Rattus norvegicus: one gene and its partners. The main gene of each other region encodes a partner of the protein of the gene in region 4 in a complex. Links are inferred from orthologs where the notes say so. Each region holds a gene or a part of one and is shown on either strand. Other genes may lie near its edges. The genes, in order: Taf10, Taf6, Taf4 and Taf3.

Region 1 (4,590 bases), on a different chromosome or scaffold from region 4:
GTGCTGAAGGTTCGAGACTGGAGTACAAGGAAAAGCAGGGACTTCAATGAGGAATGTCCCCGGCTCAGGTGAGACACCTGAATTGGAAGCTGTTTCTAAGGAACCCCAAATAGTACTGAAAAGTGAAATTCTGTTGGGTCTCACCACTCTCTTCCTCTCCCAGGATTTTCTCTCATCCTAACGTGCTTCCGGTACTAGGTGCTTGCCAGGCTCCCCCAGCTCCCCACCCAACCCTCATCACACACTGGATGCCATATGGATCTCTCTACAATGTTCTACATGAAGGCACCAGTAAGGATGTTGGTCTTGTTGGGAATAGAATAGGGGTGGGGGACTCTAAACTAATGATTCTTGCTTCCTGTTAGATTTCGTTGTGGACCAGAGCCAAGCTGTAAAGTTTGCTTTGGACATGGCAAGAGGCATGGCTTTTCTTCATACACTAGAGCCTCTCATACCTCGGCACGCACTCAATAGCCGTAGTGTAATGGTGAGACCACAAGTTCACTTCTGGTCCCCAAAGCCCTTTGCTGGCCTACAATAGGTTCCACCTTTTTGACCTTAACTTCTCTTCCTCAGATCGATGAAGATATGACTGCCCGAATCAGCATGGCTGATGTAAAGTTTTCTTTCCAGTGCCCTGGGCGCATGTATGCACCTGCCTGGGTGGCCCCTGAAGGTAGGTAAAGGCATCATGTTGGGAAATGAAGAATTAGCTCAGTAACAGTAGAAGAGGCAGAGACTAAAAAGGCTATGCAACTGGAATAGTTAATAAGCCTTATCCCTTCCAGCCCTGCAAAAGAAGCCTGAAGATACAAACAGACGCTCAGCAGACATGTGGAGTTTTGCCGTGCTTCTGTGGGAACTGGTGACACGAGAGGTGCCCTTTGCTGACCTTTCTAATATGGAGATTGGAATGAAGGTGAGCACAGAACTGCAGATACTTGTGTGGGGATAGTGGTGCTGACATCACTGTGGTAAGCCCTTCCTGCAGTGTATACAGATCTATAGTAATCCTACCATTCAAGGGTCAAAGGCTTTTGCCCATATGATGAACTCAAATTCAGAAGCTCACCTTGTTCTGTATAATTTGCAGGTGGCACTGGAAGGCCTTCGGCCTACTATCCCACCAGGTATTTCCCCCCACGTGTGTAAGCTCATGAAGATTTGCATGAATGAAGACCCTGCAAAGCGACCCAAGTTTGACATGATTGTACCTATCTTGGAGAAGATGCAGGACAAGTAGGACTTGAAGGTCCCTGCCCAAACTTCAGAAGTATCAGCATATGGCTGGGGGAATGCACTTCCCCGAAGCTGAAGATCTCTGGTTGCCTCCCCTGTCTCTAATCATGGTACTACCCCAGTTATGGGGCTTGTTCCCTGCTCCCATCCCTACCACTGTAGCCCCAGAGAGGGCTGGGCTCAGAGCTTTGTCACTTGCCACTTGATGTCTCCCAACATGGGAGGGATCAGCCCCGCCTGTCACAATAAAGTTTATTATGAAAACAGGCTCATGTGGGGACAGAGGGGAAGACAAATACATCTGGGTTGGGTGGCTCAGGTGAAGTAGTGCGGCTTCTTCACATTGATGCCATACTCGCTGAGGGCAGGGGTCAAGTCCTCCATGGTTAGGGTGTACTTGCGATCCTGGGGGAAAGAGGGAAGACCACCAGCTGAGCACAGCAAGTCCAGATTCCAGTCCTTTGTGGGTAACCCTGAGTAGGCCCAATACCTCCCCTAGGATGCTGCTTCCCCAAAAGGCTTTCAGGATAAGTTAAGTCTGTACTGCTGTGGAAGGCGAACCTCTCACACCTTGCTCTTGCTCCGGGAGCTGCCAGAGGCTGTACCCTTCATTTTGCAGTGCTGTAGGGCATCATTGGCAATATCTGAGATGAATTTCTGGGCAGCTAGTGAGATGAGCCGAATTCTAGAGAGGAAGGGGGTGGTGGTAATGAGATATTTAACAAACTCCACCCAGCACTCAACAGTCTAACCTCTGAGTTTACTCACATGCGTGGGTCTGAAGCTTCAAAGCCAGCACGGTTCAGGTAGTAACCAGTCACTGCATCCGGGATCTGAAAAATCAAATAGCCGTCATTATTAGCTCTGCCTACTGATGCGCTGGGTGGGGAGGAAGAATAAAGAGACAGCTTCCTAGTAGAGGACGCTTGAAAGCATGAAGGTGCGGTTGAAAGGCACGACAGCGAGGCAGGTGGCCTTGTACAGGCGGGAAGCCCACCGTAGGTGTATAATCCTCCAACTGCATCAAGAAGTCCACTAGTGGTGTGCTGGACACTACGGGCTTCACTTCTCCGTTGGCCGCGCTCGGTAGGGCGTAAACCCCGTTAGACATTGCCCCCTCAGGGGGAGCCGCGCCGCCTGCTGCCACCGAAGCTGAAGGAGAATCAACAACACAGGTGAGAAGCGCAGGGTCCCCCCAACCCCCGCTGCGGCACCCAGTCGGAGATTCCCCCCTCCCTCACCCGGCCCGGAGCTCACCCGGTCCGCGCCGCTCCGCGGGCTCCCCTGCCCGTGCCGCCACGGGGCCCGTGCCTGCAGTGGCGACTCCAGCTCCAGGGCCCCCTGCTGTCCCCGCGGGGCTGGCTTTGCTCTCCGCGGCCGTGCTAGTGGGCAGCGCAGCGGGAGCGGACACCGGGGGCGCCGGACCCGCGACCGAGGCGGCACAGGCTGGCGCCGCCTCGGGGTCCGCGCCGGAGCCGCTGCAGCTCATGGGGCTGGTGGGAAAGGCGGCAACCAGAGCTACTTCCGCTTCCGCTCGCCCAGGCGCACGTTGCGTGACGTCACAGTTCCCGCCCCACCGCTTTAGTCCGCCGCGGGCGACCTTAGGTTGGCTGTTGGCAGATTAGGTGTAGACTGGCAGAGGTAAACTGTGAAAGACCTAGCCTCCACCCTGCGGCTCAACCCTGCCCAGATGGGACCGCGAAGAATCCAGGACTGCACACTTCATTTCATCTGGGTGCGCAGATTTGACTTGGGGACTCATATGTCAGATACTTCATTACCAGTCTCCTTAACAGTCTTCATTCTTTGTCGCTCCCTTTCACTGTCTTTAAGGATTTTAGTGGATTTGGTGTGTGTCCCTCCCACCCACAACGGTCCTAGAAGCGTGCTGCTGTAAATGTAGAGATAGGTGTTTCACCCCGAAGAAATAACATGCCAAAGTCACATGTGAAGCACATTAGCAATTCAACAGTCATTTATTTAATTTCTATTTGCCAACTACAGGGTTGGGACCTAGGAATACAAAGTTAAGAATCAGATTCTAGTTCACTAGCACCAAGCTCTGGAAAAGGAAGGCAGACAATTTTAATACTGTATGGTTGTTTCCCAGATACACGTAGGTGGAGTGCAAGGAAGTAGGGAACTAACATCAGCTGCTTAATTCCAAGTGTCAGACATTAGCAATGTTTATTTCCCAATTTTGAAGGCAGGTTTCAATGTCCCTGACTTTTACCCAGTAATCTTTGAAGGGTTTGCACAAATAAATATACTGTTTGGTTTAGAAGATGACTTACCCATGGTCAAGGATGCTGAGGGGCTTTGGAAGGCTCTCCCCTACCCAAGTACTTCCTGCAGTTTAGAGGAAAAAGGACATGGGCTCAAAGATAATGCAGTAGTGTGTGTGTGTGTGTGTGTGTGTGTGTGTGTGTGTGCGTGCGCGCGCGCGCGCGCGCGCGTGCACGCACGTTTGTGTATTTTCGAGACATGGTCTCACGTAGGCCTGGCATGCCTGGAACTCTTTGTATAGACCAGGATGGACTCAGAGAGGCTTGCCTGGTCTCTGCCTCCTAAGTGCTGGGATTAAAGGTGAGCATCACCACGCTAGCTGATAAAGACATATCTGGAGAAGTAGTCAGTAAAACTTGTTGAAGTTAGTAGGGAGGTGAAAAAAAATGAAAATTAAGAGTTACAGGTTTCTGGCTTGTTTGAAAGAGGCATTATATCACAGACTAAGAGATGAAATAGTTTAGGTCTGGGCTGGAGGGAGATGAAGTAATGAGGTATCTTACATTTGAGATGTCAGTGATCTATCAAGGGATGTTAATAAAATATGAGTAAAAACCTACGGATGGAACAATGAACACCAGCATCCCATAATTAGTTGAAAAGGAGGACAGTTAGTGTGGTCAAAGGGGGTATACACTGAGCAAAAAAGGAATGGGAAACTGACGGAAAGAACGAACACCCAGGTTCACAGAAGCTAGATGTTTGTGAATGTCTGACAGTTGAAATTAAAACCTGAATGCTGCTTTGGTGTAGCCAAGAAGGGGAAAATAAAATGTAAATTTACAAATAATTTACAAAAAAAAAAATCACTGAAGCAAAAATTTAAAGCAAAATTTGTAACACCTATTTATTTTGTTGAGGAGCTTTGCCAATAAGAACATTTAAAACATTTAAAATTTTCAAACTTGAACTTTCCTTAGAATAGTTATATAGATTGTCACCAACCTGTTCTTTTTTTTTTTTTTGGTTCTTTTTTTCGGAGCTGGGGACCGAACCCAGGGCCTTGCGCTTCCTAGGCAAGCGCTCTACCACTGAGCTAAATCCCCAACCCATCACCAACCTGTT
Region 2 (5,524 bases), on a different chromosome or scaffold from region 4:
GCTTATCAAACACAGAAAGGAACGGGGGAAAACAGCCAAGAAAAAGACAAGGGATACTCACTGACTGAGAAGTTGGGTGTGTCTGAAGTACAGTCACTCTTAGGAATGGAGGAAAAAGCCTAAGTGTATATACAAGACATTTACAGCTCCCCCAAACCCCAAGTTGGCTTAGGGTCTGGGGAAACAGTTCAGTAAGTAAAGTACTTTTAACTTGAGGACCTGAGTTCAGATCCTAAGCACCTATACAATGTTAGGCGATGTGGCATGTGTTATCCCAGCATTTTGAGATCAGAACTAGAGACAGGAGGTGTCTATGGATAACTTTCAGGGGAACAAGAGAACCTCTCTCAAGCAAAAGGTAGATGTTTCTTCTGAAGGAATGACACCTGAGGTTGTCCTCTGACCTCCATAAGGTCTTTGTCTGAACACAGAGGTGCAAAAGCAACAGTGCCAAGGTTAGGCCTGTGTTTAGAAAGGTTAAGAGGTCCCAGGAGATGCCAAGGCGGCACAGGCCTTTAATCCCTGCACTCGGGAGGCGGAGGCAGGTGGATCTCTGAGTTTGAGGCCAGTCTGGACTACAGATCAAGTTCCAGGACAGCCGGAGTTACACAGAGAAACCCTGTCTTAACGTGTCCCCCCCACCCCCCCCAAAGACACAGATGCAAAAAAAAAAAAATGAGAGATTAGAATAAAGTCATGGGTAACAATGACAATAATGTTGTTGGGTGTAAAGTGAAACGATAATAAATCCAAAGAAAAAGTTAATGTCAGGGAGCCACAGGATATTTTATTCAGTGACCTGGCTTCCTCCCTGTTGGGAGTAGAGTGGGGAGGGGGGCATTTACTGATGCAGCCAGGGGCTGTGCTGCTTGTTGTAAAATCCCTACAGTGCAACCCATCTGCAAAGTCTCACACTGATGGGCAACTTCTAAGTGGTATGATGGTGTCTCCATCTTTTGTTTATGAGCTTCAGCTGGGGACTTACTCACCTTTAAACCCCTGAAGGGGGTCATCAGGCCTGTAATTTGCGAGCGTCTCTGCCAGGGCGGGGCACAGTACGTCTATAAGGTATGAACCTTACACCCCACCCATGCAAGTTGTCTAGATTTTTAACAAGTAGGGAAACGCACTGAGAAAGATGCTCGGTAGAGCCAGCGTTACAGGTTCGTGAACTACAATTCCCACAATCCATTCAAGCCCAAGCCCGCAAGAAAAACCTAGCTCCTTCTGGATGCCACCTGGGAAATGTAGTGCCACCGTAACACTGCTCTCCTTCCCTCGTTCCCATTCAAGTGTTACCAAGCTCCAACAGAACCTCTTTCAAGACAGTTGAGTGACCCATCTATCCTAGTCCATTTGATTCAGCCTAGAGTTAAAGGCAGGAGCTAGGATAAGGAGATGCAAATAGCAACTGCTCCATTTCTGTACCTTCGCATTTGCTGGGCAAACGTTCTGTATCAGCTTCTTCTTCTTTTGTCATTCCAGTCCAAGCACCGTACGCTGCCAGGATGAAAAGCAGTATTTCCAACCGCACAGGTCCCATGACAAAACGCAGTTCACACATACACACAACCACCTCTTGCCTTCAGACTAACTTCTGAAAGGGAGCGGGCCCTTTAAACTTAGGCGCAGCCGGCAGCAAGCCTTTAAAAAAAAAAAAAACTTACAGGGGACGGTCAGCGCATGCCCAAAGTTAGCCCGAAAGTGGGTGGAGCCTAATGGCTCCAGGCTTCCCGGCCTTACTTTTGTGGCGCCTCCTGAAGGTCCTGGCAGCTGGGTAGTGAAGATACAAATTGAAGAAATTAGAATAGAGTAATGTGATCTTTACATATACACGTAGAATTTAATTTTTAAATAATTCCAGACTGTGAAACGATATGGTCTATTTTGACATAGGGAAGAGCAGTGATAAGTTCTTGGCTTCTGCCAGGACCTACTACTGCCAGGGGGCGGGGCCAAGATGGCGCCGAGCGCCGGGTGAGCGGCGCCTTGGCAGCGGTGAGAAGCTTTTACTGCTCCCGGTGCTTGGCTGGCGGGGGAAGGTCTGAGGTGTACCCGGGAGGAGACCCTTTGAAAGGGCCCATGTGAGGACTGGGAAGAAGACGGTTGGTTGTGTGTCCGTGCTAGTGGGGACCCTGTGCATGATTGCACTGGAAGGATGTTGGGGAGATGTAGTAGATTGTGAACCTCCTGTAGCGCTGCCCGGGGAATCTTCGAATCACTTCCCTGCTGAGGAAAATGATGCACAGATATAGCTCAAGTTATCCGTCCTCTGAGAAGTCTTCCTGTCGTTTCCACTGATCTGAGAAATTCCGGAGGGTGTTAGTGTTTTATGAACCCTTAGTGGCAGGGGACTGGGACCCAACTGCCTCTTGTATACTTGGCACCAGGTTCAGAGTATGTGCTGAATAGTTGTATTTCCTGTAGACAAGATTTAACAAAAGTCTGAGAAAAATTGGGATGGAAAGAACCAGGGTCTTTGGCCTCCACCCCCAACCCCCACCCTGGCACACACACACAAACACACACCCCTTTTCCCCAGCACTCAGCTCTGAACACTCCTGAGGTTGACCTCATGTCCAGTGTCAGGCAAGCTCCTTTCCATTTGACCACAGAGTAAACTCCAAGCTTGGGTCTGTGTCTTTTTCATTTTGGTAATTGTTATACCAAGTATTTAGTGAACACTTACACCTTTAGGACTTAAAATTCATATATTTAATAATGTCCTAGGTACTAGTCAATCTAGGCACCAGATTGGTCAGCGGACATAACAGACATAATCCTGTCTACTGGTGGGGTAAGAATAATAAACAAGAAAAATAATAGCTTGGCGGTAAACAGCTGTAAAAGGCAGGAGGATCTCCAAATCAAGGCCACAGAATGAGTTCCAGACAAGCCTGAGACCCAATTGTAGAAGGGTTGCTTAACATGTGGAAAGCTTAGATTTAATCTAGAGTGATTATATAGAATACATATATATAATATATATCATTTATTATTAGAAGAAATTTTGGCAAACAAGTAAAGCCAGGCATGGTGGTATGTGCTTATAATCCCAGCACTTGGGAGGTGGAGGCCAAAGGACCAGGAGTTAAGACCAGTGTTGTCTACATAGTGAATTTGAAACCAGTCTGGGCTGGGGGCCACCTGCCCCTAAAGAGAGGTGGATGGGGTCAGATAAGGTAGTCAGCCAAACACATTTAGGAAGAACACAACAAAAGTTATAAAGCCAAGTACACTACATACCTGTCAGATTTAAAGGACAGCAAGAAGAATGATGTGTGACAGGTTAAATGGGAAAAGGAGGGATAGGTGATCAGACGTATGAAGGAAAAGAAAGGAAAAGGAAAAACCACTTAGGCAAGACTCAAACTTGCTGTCTGTGCACTTTAGCCTCCAGAGTGCTGGGGTTACAAGTGTACAGATGTAGGGTCTCACTCTGAAGCATGACCTGGTATAAAACTCAAGGCAGTCCACTGAAATCAGAAGGGTTGACCCGCAGAACTGGACAAGAGACAGATCTTGAAGGGAAGGCCTTGGGAGGGTTTTATGTCAAAAGGGGAACCATTATAGGAAAGAAATAGTTATCTGCTTTATATTTTGACACTTAAAACCACTTTGGTTTTAAGGAACAAATGCAAAAAAAAAAAAAAAAAAAAAAGTAAGATAGAAATAGGAACACCTTGTCCAGCAACTGAGTTCAGCAGATAGGCCAAAAAGGGTCTGGTTGGACTGCCTGGTAGGTTTTAATACCATGCTGGGAATCAACCCCAGGTCCATATACATGCTATATCTTCCAGCCCTTACTTGATGGATTTGTTTCAAGCGTCCAGATAAGAATGAGTTGTGCTGGATGTGGTGACACATGCCTATAGTCCCAGCACTTGGGAAGTAGCAGGACCAGGAGTTCAGGGACATTTTCAGCACATATGGAGTAAGAGACCAGCCCGGACTACAAGAGGCCCGAGAGAGAGAGAGACAGAGACAGAGAGAGACAGAGAGAGAACAGGCCTTTAATCCCATCATCCAGGAGGCGGAGGCAGGTGGATCTCTGAATGTGAGACCAGCCTGGTCTATAGAGCAAGTTCCAGGTCAGCTGGGGTTACACAGCCTCAGGGTAGAAGGGTAGGGGACAAACTGGGTCTGGAGATGTAGCTCAGTTTTTAAAGTATTTCCCAGCACCACAAAACTGTCGGGGTACGTCTATAATCCTAGAATTAGGAAGGTAGCAAAAGAATCCAGAGTCAAGACTTACCTTTTATTACATAGTTTAGGGCATGGCTAAAGAAACCTATCCACAAAAGTAAGAGCAAACAAACAAAAAAATTGTCACTGGGCATGTTACTACATGCCTATAATCCTAGTACTTGAAAGGCAGAAGCTGGGGGCTGGAATTAGAAGTGTTATGGCTCCATAGTGAGCCCCTGTGTCTAAAAGAAAAAAGACAGAGCAAGCCGTTTGGTAGCTTTGCTTTGACGGTGAGCTGTAAGTAAGGAGAGAACGCAGATGGAGGCTTTGAACTGTTTTCCTTTTTGTCTTGCCACATCCCACTCTTAGGATCTCCATCTCTCCACCCTGGGGTGACATCCTTCCAGGGACAGGAGCTGGAACTCCAGCATGGCTGAGGAGAAGAAACTGAAACTCAGCAATACCGTGTTGCCCTCCGAGTCTATGAAGGTGGTGGCAGAATCCATGGGCATTGCTCAGATTCAGGAGGAGACTTGCCAGCTACTGACAGATGAGGTCAGCTACCGCATCAAGGAGATTGCCCAGGTAAGCCTTCTGCCCAGCTTTGCTTTGTGCTAACAATTCAACCTACTATGTAACTAAGGATAACCTTGAACTTCTGACCCTCTTGTGCCCACCTCCACTGCTGGGATTGAGGGTCTAACACCATGTCTTGTCATGTGATGCTTGGGATTGAACTCAGGCTCCTGTGCCTGCTAGGCACATGCTTTACTCAGTGAGCCATATTCCTCAGGGTCTTAGATACATATCTCTTCTCAGAGGGGCCCTGGCGGGGCAGGCCTTCAATCCCAGCACTTGGAGTTTGAGGCCAGCCTGGTTTACATAGTGAGTTCCAGGAAAGCCAGGGCTACACAGAGGAAGACCCTGTCTCGGAAAACAAAAGCAAAATCTCTTTCCTTCTCACCCCCTAGGATGCTTTGAAGTTCATGCACATGGGGAAACGACAGAAGCTCACTACCAGTGACATTGACTATGCATTGAAATTAAAGAATGTGGAGGTGATTTGGAGGGGCTTAAAGAAGACAGGCGGCTTTAGAGTGGGGCCATGCCTCCCTTGAGCTGTTTCTCATGCCTTTCTCTGTCTCTTCTGGTATAGCCACTATATGGCTTCCATGCTCAGGAGTTCATCCCTTTCCGGTTTGCCTCTGGTGGGGGCCGGGAGCTGTACTTCTATGAAGAGAAGGAAGTGGACCTGAGTGATATCATCAACACCCCTCTGCCTCGGGTGCCTCTGGATGTCTGCCTCAAAGGTGGAGACGGGGTAGAGCTGGGTGCC
Region 3 (5,543 bases), on a different chromosome or scaffold from region 4:
TGTATCAGTAGAGGAGGAACACCAGTTAGAGAAAGTCCTGATTGCTCAGATACAGGGAAGACCTAGTATGTTTGCGTCCTCTAACCATGTCTCCCTGTCCTGTTTTAAAAAGAAGTTGGCTTTCCAGCACTGGTGGTAGTAGTTTTAAGCACCAAACATTAGCTTAGCTTTGGGTGTTTTTAAAGTAAGGTTCTCCCTCAATCAGCGTTCCTTATCAAAACAGCCACAGGAGCCAGACGGTTAGGAAGGTGGGTATGGATGGGCCTTCTCCTTAGAAAGCATGTGCCCACTCTGAAGCAGAGCGCTGGGTGTCTGCCACCCAGAAGGCAACAGACTCTGCCCTACTCTTGGACACAAGCATGGGGCTGATGCAGACGTAGAGAAGTGCGAATGATGGACCTATTTACTTTTTCCCCAAGGAGTTACCTTCTGCTCAAACACCAACCCTGAACCTGACCTGAAAAAGGAGGCAGTTGTGATGGAGACGGCAGCCAATGCCCTTTGCAAATGGCATTGTCATTTCTCCCGGGGAGATGGACTTTACTTGTACGGCACTCAAAGGCAATGGAACCAGGGAAAGTCAAGACGCTATGGAAGGATGTCATGGCACCTGACTACGACAGCTTTCCTGATAAAAGGACAACATGGGCACATCCTTGCACTGGGGAGTCTATTCGAATAATAGACTACAAGCACAGAATGAATCTTAAACTATAACATCAGCCATATTTTCCACCCAAAGGTCAGAGTGAAGATAATGAACAAGACCTTTCAATCACACACACGCACGCGCACACACACACACACACACACACACACACACACACACACCCTGCCCCAGATGTGTGGCAAGAGACATCTGCAGCTCCTAGGCCTTATGTCACACCCAGCGCCTCCTCAGAGCATGGCAGCCCCTGCAACCTCACTAACTATTCTGGGTCCTGTATCCCCATAGATAGGGCAAGTATCTCTGAACCTTTTCGGAGCCTTCCTGGTCCTCACTGACCTCAGCAAAACTGAATTCTAAAGATGCTTTAGCTCTTTCAACGTGACCCAAACCACTTTTCAGAAAGCAGGGGGACACAGTAGCAGCATGTTTTCTAATTCTCTACTACTGCCACCGCGGTGGGCGGGCGGCGCTGCTACTACTGCTTGCACATGTCACTGTGTAACACGGGAGGAGCGGAGCGCTCAGTGCTCGCTCCGGCCCAGGGTTCAGTGGGAACACTTCTGCAGAGGACTCTCAAACAAAAGCAGTCTACAAGCGGGGAAAGGAGTCACTCATCAAACCCAAGGGCCCTGAGGAATTCGAGGACAACAGAGTCAGAGCCTACATGGAATCTGCAAGCTCTGAGACAGCTTCTGAGCCCCAGCATCCACATCTCCATGATCTCCTGCATCCGCAGACCCCTGCGCAGTGAGTGTCCTGCTGACCTCCAGGGATGGCAAAACAAAAACACTCAGGGTCCTCTTTCAGGCACCGATGACCACTAAACCCCTGCTCCCTGCATGGAGTCCCTAACCAGCTTCCCTGACAACAGGGAAGCCCACGCCTTCCACACAGACTTCACCATCCTGCCCCTGAGTTAGTTCGCCCTCTCTTGACCTCACCTGAGGAAGGAGAAAGAAGGGCCCCTCGACCACACAGTGGTAGCCCATAGCACCCCAACGGGACACCAGAGTTCCCTGAGGGCTCTGGAGCTCCAGGACTGGGAAGCCCTCAAAACTGTCAGGTCACCTGGGCAGAGGCCGCCCCTCGGCTTCGCGTGCCACCCTGCCAGGACACAGCCCCAGAATGCAGCCCAGAACTTCCTGGAACGCCAGGGCCGCCTGGTGCACCCGCCCTCGCCTCCCGCCGCGCGCTGCCACTCACCTGGGGGCAGCTGGAAGTTCTGGATGTTGGTCGGGTTCTGCGGCGGCTGCGGCAGGCGCGGGGCCAACACGGTGGGCGTCAGCGTGGCCCGGATAGCGCCGGTGGTGGCCGCCGGCGTCCGAGGCAGGCTGGGGGTCGCTGCGGCCGCGCCCTTCGCCAGCCCCGCGGGGGTCCCGGGAGCAGGCCCCGGCAGCGCGCCCGGCATGGCGGGCCCGAGCAGCACACCGCCCGCCGCGCCCCCGCCCGCGACCCCCCCCGCCGCCGCCGCCGCCGCCGCCGCCGGCCCCGGCCCGGGCCCCGGTCCGGGCTTGGGCGCCTCGGCCTTAGCCCCCTGCGCGCCCGCGCCCGGCTGGCCCAACCCCGCGGCGCCCCCGGAGGCCGCGGCGGGGGCAGGAGCGGCCCCGTTCTGCGCGGCGGCGGCGGCGGCGGCGGCGGCGGCAGCGGGTGACACGGGGGGCGCGGGCGCGGCGGGGTGCCCGGGCGGCCGGGCTGGCGCGACGGGCGCTGGAGGCGCGGGAGGCGGGGGCGCGGCGGGCGCGGGCGCGGCGGGCGGCGAGGGCGCGGCGGGCGCGGGGGCCGCCTGGATGACAGAGCCGGCGGCGGGCGGCGGCGCGGGCCCGTTGTTGACCGGGCTGACAGCAGGTGCGGCGTGCGGCGCGGTGGGCGGCGCGGCGCTCCCATTCAAAGTTTGCGCGGCGCCGGGGCCGGGCGGGCCAGGCGGGCCGGGCTTGGAGGCGCCGGGGCCGGCGGGCGGGGCGGCGGCGGCGGGATCCGGCCCCGCGGCGGCGGCAGCGGTGGCGGCGGCGGCGGCGACGGGGCAGGGCCCCGCGCTGGCCTCGGGCGGCGGCCTCAGCTTGGCGGGCGCCGGCGCGGGCCCTGCGGGGACAAGCAAGCGGCGCGGTGAGCTGGAGCCCGGGCGCCGCGGGCCCCCACCCGCCGGCCGCGCTCTACCTGCGGGGGGCGGCTCCGGCGCCGCTGCGGGCGCGCCCTCGGCGGAGGCGGCCGGCCCTGCGCCCGCGGCTCCGGCCGGGCTGCCGCTCACAACATGGTTCCCGAGCGCGCCGGCGGCCGCGGCCCGCAGCTCGGGCGTGCGCGGCGCGAGGTGGTGGTGGTGGGCCGCGCTGGCCGCCAGCTGCGACTCGAGCGAGCCCACCAGATCGCTCACCACTTTCTCGTCCACCTCGCTGTTGAAGAAGACCTCGTCCAGCAGATCCGAGCCCGCCGCCATCTTTCCTCCTCGCCGCCGCCGCCGCCGCCGCTCGGCCGAGCGCGCCTGGGCAGGAGGAGGTTCCAGCGGGGCGCGGGGCGGGCGGGGGGCGGTGCGCGGGGCGGGCGGGGGCGCGGCGCGCAGGGAGGGGGGAGGGGCGGCCTAGTGCGCAGGCGCTCCGACACGCACCGCCCCCGCCCGCGCCTCTGTGGCCTCTGATTGGCTGCGGCCGGCTCTTAAAAGACGCGGCCAATGGCTGCGAGCGCCAGAGGCCGGGGAGCAGGCGAGGTGTTGGGTGCTGGTCGGCTGTTAGAGCGCTGGTGGGAATGGCAGCCGGGCGGGGAGAGCGGCGGCGCTCGGTGCCGGGTGGGTCGCTGCAGCCGGCTGCGGGGTTCGCCCTTTGTCTGCACCCTTCCAAAATGGCTGCGGCCAGGGCGGGCGGCGACAGCTGCGCGGGCGCTCCCGGGGCCCCGGCGGTCAGTGAGGAGCAGGAGTCCTGGCAAGAAAACGCTTTCGGGGCGGAGAGGTGCGCAGAGGACGCCACGGACGCCACGGGTCAGCTCCTCTGACTTACAGCGGTTAGTAAGAGGGCCGTGCACACCGAAGCTGGACATCCGGAAGCTGATTTGTTCTTTATTTACTTTTCTCGTGGGGGAGGGGGTAGTAAATCCTCTAAACTGATGCTTGCAAGCACTTTGTGGGAACGTTTTCGTTACCATTTCGCCCCTTTCTTCCTGGGTGTTTTCTTAACCAAAAGGCCGTCTTATTGAACGTTGCTATGATTTCGTCTTTCCATTTTTTGAAAAGGCCCCAAAAACAAATTCCAGATGGCAAAGCTCCTTGTTGGGACCTCACTGCAACTGACCCTCCCAGAATCATCGTCACTTCTGAAGAGACTTGCCACAGTCCGCACAGATCCAGCACTGGGGAATGAGGAATGTGACATTGTAATTTTTTTTTCTTTCGTGCCTTGAAAGAGGCGTTTCCTACCAGCCCGTACTACCTATACACACCATCCCAGCACTTGGAAAGTGAAGGCAGATTAATAAGGAGTTCAACCTTGGTTATATATTTAGTTGGAGGCCAGCTTGGGGTCTCATGAGACACTTATATCAAAAAGGTGAGGTGAGGACTCTTCCTCTCTAAAGCAGGCTGCTCTCTAACTCTCAGCCTGTGTGCTGATCCTGTCCCAGCCTTTTAAACTAAGTGAGTTATAACTGCTATACAACAAACCCCACCCTACCCCAGCTGTTCTCTAAGCAATAGTCTATCTAAGGAACTGTACACGTTGAAACCCCCACCCCCACCCACCCCCAAAAAAACAAAACAAAACAAAACACAGTGCCCTCACTTGCAAAGTGTGCTAGGGAACCCTTAGACAACAGAAATTTTGTTCTTGAACATCAGCCTCCAGGTTTGGAAAGCCAGTAAAAAGGAGGAGACAATGAGAAAGCAGGTAGGGTGCTACAAGCCAGTGTAGGATTGACACCAGGAACAGAAATTCACAGTTGTGAATAAAACCCAAGCGTCTTCTTCTGACACAGGAGAACACACTTGGGGCCAAGAGCATCCTAAGCAAGTAGGGCACCACTTAGTGACAACCCTCCAAACCCAAATCGGAATTTTTCACTCTTGATGGTTTGAAGATTTTAAAATGGACCAAACACTCAGCGGGTTCTTAGTCATCCACTTGATGCTGGTTAATGGGAACCACCAGTTAGGTGTACAACAGCCTGTACCCCAAAACCCTTAGGTGACAGGAAGCAAAACAGTGAACACCTATAGCAAAGCCCAGACTCTGAAGCTCACAGGCCCTCGGGTGACTGTTGATTCCCAGTGCCATACCCCTACCCTGCATGTCCCTTGCTGCCATGGTACTAAGATCTTTCATGAGAACAGGCATTGTCCTCTCCATAGGCTTGCCAGACACATCTCCAGTGTGGTTCCAAGCCTCTAAAAGAGAATGAAGCCTCCTTCCATGCCTAAGCATCTGCTGATGACACAGCCCCTGAGCCACCAAGACTTAAGTTATAGGTGTAGGTTTAGGGTCTGTGCCACCAAACTCTTCACTCCTTGCTGCAGTGCCCAGTATGGGAGCCACAATGCAGGCAGCTGTTTTCAAGTACACTGCCCTTAAGACTGGAGTGAGTGGAGCTGAAAAATCTCCCCTCCTCAAAACCTATATATATGCAAGGGACAGTAGACACTATTAGAGACGTAACCTTTGTCACTCTGGAGACAAATTTCCTTTAAATGTCTCTCCCTCTGATACATTGTCACAGGCCATTACGACTTCCATAGTTTGAAGCTGACAATCCCAGAACTAGCGTTAAAAGAGAAAAGGAAGAAGAACCACTAAGTATAAAGTAAAAAAACACCTCATTTTGGGGCTGGGGATTTAGCTCAGTGGTAGAGCGCTTACCTAGGAAGCGCAAGGCCCTGGGTTCGGTCCCCAGCTCTGAA
Region 4 (4,837 bases):
TTTAAAATGAATCTTTAAGGCATGGTGGCTCAACAGATGAAGACACTGGCCATGATGCCCAACAGCACGCGGTCTCTGAGCCACGTGCTGTGCTCAGAAACAGGGAACGAAATGGTGTGCAAACCAATACAGCACGCTCCAATCCCGCAATGAAAATAAATGCCAAAAATGATGTATACACCAGAAATCTGCCCAAACACTGTAGCACTTACGCTGGGTATTTGGGCTATATTATATAGCGCCTTCTGTATAGTGAGACTAATTAGTTTATTTGTTCTTTCCATCAGGAAGAGTATAATGCAATGGCTTTGCTTGTATGTTTCACTTGGGGGGAGAGGCTGAGGGTGGGAAAGAGTCTCAGGTAGCCCAGGTTGACCTCAACTTCACTATGCAGCCCAATGCCAGGGGCAGGGAGGAGAGGGGAGTTACTATTCCTGTAGGAAAGGGTACAGAACTGAAGCAGGACATCCACAGTCAGGCTCAGGAACAACAGCACGACCAACAGTGCAGTTACTGACCCTGTCCTGAGTCGCTCTGAGATGCTCAGGCTCGGCTGGCCGTCTTGCGGTCTAGCACTCTGGGGATCTGGGGGCACTCACCAGTGGTACCAATCGTCACAGTCGTCACAGCCAATCATTGGGCTGCCGTCATCTGGCTTGTTGCAACCTGGACAGATCCAGATCTGATTGCCCCACTCATCACGGATCTGGTGGTAAGGTGCAGAGCCCGAAGAAATGGTGTGGGGAAAGAAGCAGAAGAGGCCAGATAAGAATGCTGCTTTATGCTGTGCACACTAAACCAACAAGCTAGGCGTACAGACCAGCACTGTCTGTGTGTCACCATCAGTCACCCCCGCTCTGGAACCACACAGAGGAAAACAGCTACTTAGTGAACAATAGTCCCCCTACACACACACACACACACACACACACACACACACACACACACACACACACACTTTCTTCCCCCCACACTCTCTCCTCACTATCTCTCTCCCTCTTGCATTTCTCCCTACTCTTCCCTCTCTCTACCCCATCCTGCATTGTTATTATTATTATTATTTTGGAGGTAGGTTCTATAAGCTTAGGCAGGCATGGCAGCCACTTATGGTCCAGGCTGGTTTTGAACTACAATCTTGGCCTCACTTCATGAGTGCCGGGGTTTCTGGTATGTGCTGCTGTGCCTGGATAGAACGACATGTTTCTGATGCACATTCTAAACTGCTCTGTAAATCATTAAAACAAAGCATTGCAGAGTCGTCTCTGAAACTGTCACGACTGGCAGACAGCTTCTCCTAAGAACTCCTCTCATCTCCCGAACCCCTCGTGAATCTGGCCTATCGGCCACACAACGGATAGTTCTGAAAGCTCTCGGTTTCCCTATTTTCTCAGCCACGCTCATAGCATGGGGTTAGCACACACAGTCGAGCGCGCATGCATTCCCTCATTACTCATTAGCCAAGCCTTCTCCTGAACTAGGTGATAAGATCAAGGATGTAAAAGAGCTGTTACTGAGTAACTTTCCATTCCCTGCATGGCATCTTAGAAAAGCACAATCCACTAGAGGGCAAAGGGAAGCAGAGGCTCATGGGCCAAAGAACTGCACACTTAATTATCATTATGCTCCAAATACCGCAGGTTCCAGGGTTCCGGCTTCATTCTCAGTAGGGAGTGTTCCTAACTGGATGGCTTTCTAAATGTCACAATATCGAAGCCAATTCTGCATGGGTGCAAAGGAGCACTGAGGCAAGTCTACTTTAGATGGCCACAGAGTAAGGTGTCCTCTTCCTATGCCTTCAAGTGCTACACTGACTACATGTGTGAAAGGCCAGGGTTCCTTATGAGGGGGAATCAAGAGTGGATATGTTCTGTTGTATGCATGGACTCATTCAAGGGTTACTATTTCAAAAATCTCTATAAAGCAATCTACACTCATCTGAAGCCTGTCTAGAGGAACGTGGAGAAAGCTGCTCTGACTGCCAGCTTTAACGTGGGGACAACTGCACCAGTAGTCACCAGGCACTGGGTGCTCAGTGGGCGAACCCACCATGCATGGCTGGTCTCGCTGCTGGCTGCCCTTACTTGACATTAGCAGGCTGTGACTTTGAGATACATTAAAAAAAAAAAATTGCTGTAGCACCACAGTAATACACAGTATTTTCTTGGGTACTGAGTTCTTTTAAAACACATCTTTGGATAGTTTAAAAATGGGGAAACAGGGCCTACAGGAATCTCACTGTCAATGGTACAGTAGTAGGCAGTGAGAGAATCGTCCTGTGTGTCCTCCATCTATAAAGTGTCTAGTTAGACTAGGAGACATTCGAGCGCTGTTCCAGGTGCTTTCACATCTGTGAAGTCAGTTCCGATATCTACTGGAAAGCCACAATCTTCAGAGCCAGACAAGAGTACAGAGATTACCGAGTCTAATACAAATCCCTTAATTACAGATAAACAAATGGAGGCTGAGGAGATTAAGTATAAACTCCTTCCTGGTCAGCTCACCTGGGGGTGATGCCTCAATTATACTCCTCGGTGGAGAGGAGTGGACCAATCGATCCTCACAGGTTTTTCTATCACATTGCCAATTTACTAATTTTAAGTTAACTTTTCCTGTCTATCTACTCTGTGAATGCATTCAGGATTTTTTTATACTTGTGTCCTTATACTGTCTCACATATATAATGGTTTATTTTTTTTCCAAACTCCCCCATGTAACATGCTATATAGATACTTCTCAATCATTCATCTCTTCAAGGGCTAGGCTAAGTCAACAGCCTGCGGAGCTTGTCATTCAAAGGCATCAATATCTCCATTTACAAATACTTAGTGTGCTTGTGTGTGTCTTCACTGTGCCCTGAGAACATATCTTTATAAAATACTTCATTACTGGATTGAATTTGGTGTTGGAATCAGACCCCACACAATTAAGTGTGGGAACAGCCAAGGGCACTCTCAGGAGAACGCAGGGCCATTCGATGTGATGAGAAGCGTTTGCTACTCACTTTCAGCACGAGGGGTTAAACTCAGGGCCCTGTACGTGCTAGGCACACTCTCTACCACCGAGCTAGGTCTAAGAATAAAAAAAGCACTTGAATGCTCAGAAATTCTTATGGTCTAAAGGTTCTTTCTAGTTAAGATGTAAGTTCCTATATATTCTGGATCTCAGCAAATAAAATATAATGAATAGTGCTACCATTGAGAAATAATAGCCAGCCCATAAGATCTATGTCTAATACATAAATTATATTGACGTCAGTAATTTACTCACTCTAGTAGGAATCCACTGAGGTATTTGAATATCACAGTTGTACACTGGTGTTCTTATATTCAGGTATAGACATGATTCAAATCAACACAAATGCAGGTTGGCCTCATTTATGTAGCTGAACATCATCTATGTGGTTTTGAGCCAAGAGCTTGAAAAGGCAATGGTAATGCTTCTCCATTTATCAAGCACTGCTGTGAGGGCCAGCACTGCAGAAGCAGCCCCCCCTTAAACGCTGTGGAGACACACGTACCACGTAAGTGCTGACTGTCTCGGTCACGACGCTCCGCACTGGGGCTTTGGCGCTCCCTGCTGCAGAGAGGGCAGGGGCTGGGGATGGCATCAGGGCAGGGCACACCGCAGCCTGGGCGAGGAGTGGTGGCGGCAATGGAGTAGGGCTCACTCGTACAGGAATAGGGACAGGGGCCGGAGGCGGGGTTTTAGGTCTGTTCAGAGAAGGAGCGGGCTTAGCCTCCGGGGCTGGCACCACCTTGCTGATGACACTGTCAAGGAGAAAAAAAGCCAAGGTCAAAATGTACCATAGATTTAACAATTCCTACAAAGACCTTTGTCTGGAAGCAAAGTAGATTTGCACGGCATTTATTTATGTTGTGAGACAGTCAGAAGACGATGTGCTGGGAGACGCTTCCTTCCACCACATGAGTTCTAGAGATCAAACTCAAGTTGTCACACTTACCTGCAGAGCCATACTGCCATCCATGTTTATTAATTTTATTTTGCAGTGTCTCATGCATGAATGGCAACCACTCTAAGAGCTGAGTTATATCCCCAGTCTTGAAAAATATGCTTTAAAGTGTCCAGAAACAGTTAAAGAGCTCAGAATTCAAGGCCTATCCCATTATCACTGTTGAAACTTAGGCTAACTTTCTCAGTGATCACACACGTAGAGACATTCTAACAATCAATACCCACGTGTATGTTTTTCACAGATACATAATAGAAGGATTGTGTTTTTCCATAACTTGGTTACACACTCCTCCCTCACGACTTCAGATGTGTCAACTGACTGACTTCTGAGAGGAAATGTGAGAAGTGCTGTGGCGTTCCTTGTGAGTGGTTTCTCTTGAGCCGTTGGCCTGGAGTCTTACTGGCTTCAAAGGAATCCCTTCCTCCCCAGAAGTCATGAAGCCCTAAAAGATATGCAGGTGTCTTTTCTATTTAATTTGAATGAGAAGGCCCATAGGGTCTGGTGCTTAAACACTTGGTCCCTAGTTGGTGACGTTCGAGGGAGATTTATATGGTACAGCCATTACTAGGGGTTGGCTTTGATGTCACTGTCTCACCTTGCTTCCAGTTTGCTCTGCTCCTTCATGCTTGTACCTAAAGATGTGATCCCTTGGTTTCCTGTTGCAGCCATCATACCTGCTACTTGTGACCATGCCTCTCCACCGTAACTGAGCCCTGTCCCTCTGGAACTGTAAGCCCCGCAAACCTCTTCCATAAACTGACATGGTCACAGTCCTGCCTTACCACAGCCATAACTATGTAACTAACAGAGAGGCTGGCAGAGAGTGGGCGGCTGCCTTACATTTACGTCACCATGCCACTTTTT

The links.
Region 1: Taf3 (region 4) and Taf10 share a complex: the UniProt entries of both Homo sapiens proteins name them as parts of the TFIID basal transcription factor complex. The link is inferred for Rattus norvegicus from reciprocal best matches to the Homo sapiens genes TAF3 and TAF10.
Region 2: Taf3 (region 4) and Taf6 share a complex: the UniProt entries of both Homo sapiens proteins name them as parts of the TFIID basal transcription factor complex. The link is inferred for Rattus norvegicus from reciprocal best matches to the Homo sapiens genes TAF3 and TAF6.
Region 3: Taf3 (region 4) and Taf4 share a complex: the UniProt entries of both Homo sapiens proteins name them as parts of the TFIID basal transcription factor complex. The link is inferred for Rattus norvegicus from reciprocal best matches to the Homo sapiens genes TAF3 and TAF4.

What each region holds. Positions count from the first base shown.
Region 1 is NC_086019.1:169,505,466-169,510,055, forward strand, and holds Taf10 (transcription initiation factor TFIID subunit 10), read right to left. Parts: upstream 2,744-4,590; 5' UTR 2,729-2,743; coding exon 2,497-2,728; intron 2,392-2,496; coding exon 2,237-2,391; intron 2,073-2,236; coding exon 2,008-2,072; intron 1,925-2,007; coding exon 1,810-1,924; coding exon of another isoform or gene 1,804-1,809; exon of another isoform or gene 1,801-1,803; intron 1,645-1,800; coding exon 1,555-1,644; 3' UTR 1,475-1,554; downstream 1-1,474. Other genes in the region: Ilk (integrin-linked protein kinase), read left to right, coding at 1-68, 164-291, 366-487, 577-676, 789-919, 1,094-1,243. UniProt on the Homo sapiens protein: The TFIID basal transcription factor complex plays a major role in the initiation of RNA polymerase II (Pol II)-dependent transcription.
Region 2 is NC_086030.1:22,174,377-22,179,900, reverse strand, and holds the start of Taf6 (transcription initiation factor TFIID subunit 6), read left to right. Parts: upstream 1-1,962; 5' UTR 1,963-1,998; exon of another isoform or gene 1,999-2,105; intron 2,106-4,557; 5' UTR 4,558-4,617; coding exon 4,618-4,773; intron 4,774-5,159; coding exon 5,160-5,246; intron 5,247-5,344; coding exon 5,345-5,498; intron 5,499-5,524. Other genes in the region: Cnpy4 (protein canopy homolog 4), read right to left, coding at 1,429-1,564. UniProt on the Homo sapiens protein: The TFIID basal transcription factor complex plays a major role in the initiation of RNA polymerase II (Pol II)-dependent transcription.
Region 3 is NC_086021.1:187,457,885-187,463,427, forward strand, and holds the start of Taf4 (transcription initiation factor TFIID subunit 4), read right to left. Parts: upstream 3,159-5,543; 5' UTR 3,102-3,158; coding exon 1,874-3,101; intron 1-1,873. UniProt on the Homo sapiens protein: The TFIID basal transcription factor complex plays a major role in the initiation of RNA polymerase II (Pol II)-dependent transcription.
Region 4 is NC_086035.1:73,510,697-73,515,533, reverse strand, and holds part of Taf3 (transcription initiation factor TFIID subunit 3), read right to left. Parts: intron 3,768-4,837; coding exon 3,518-3,767; intron 707-3,517; coding exon 600-706; intron 1-599. UniProt on the Homo sapiens protein: The TFIID basal transcription factor complex plays a major role in the initiation of RNA polymerase II (Pol II)-dependent transcription.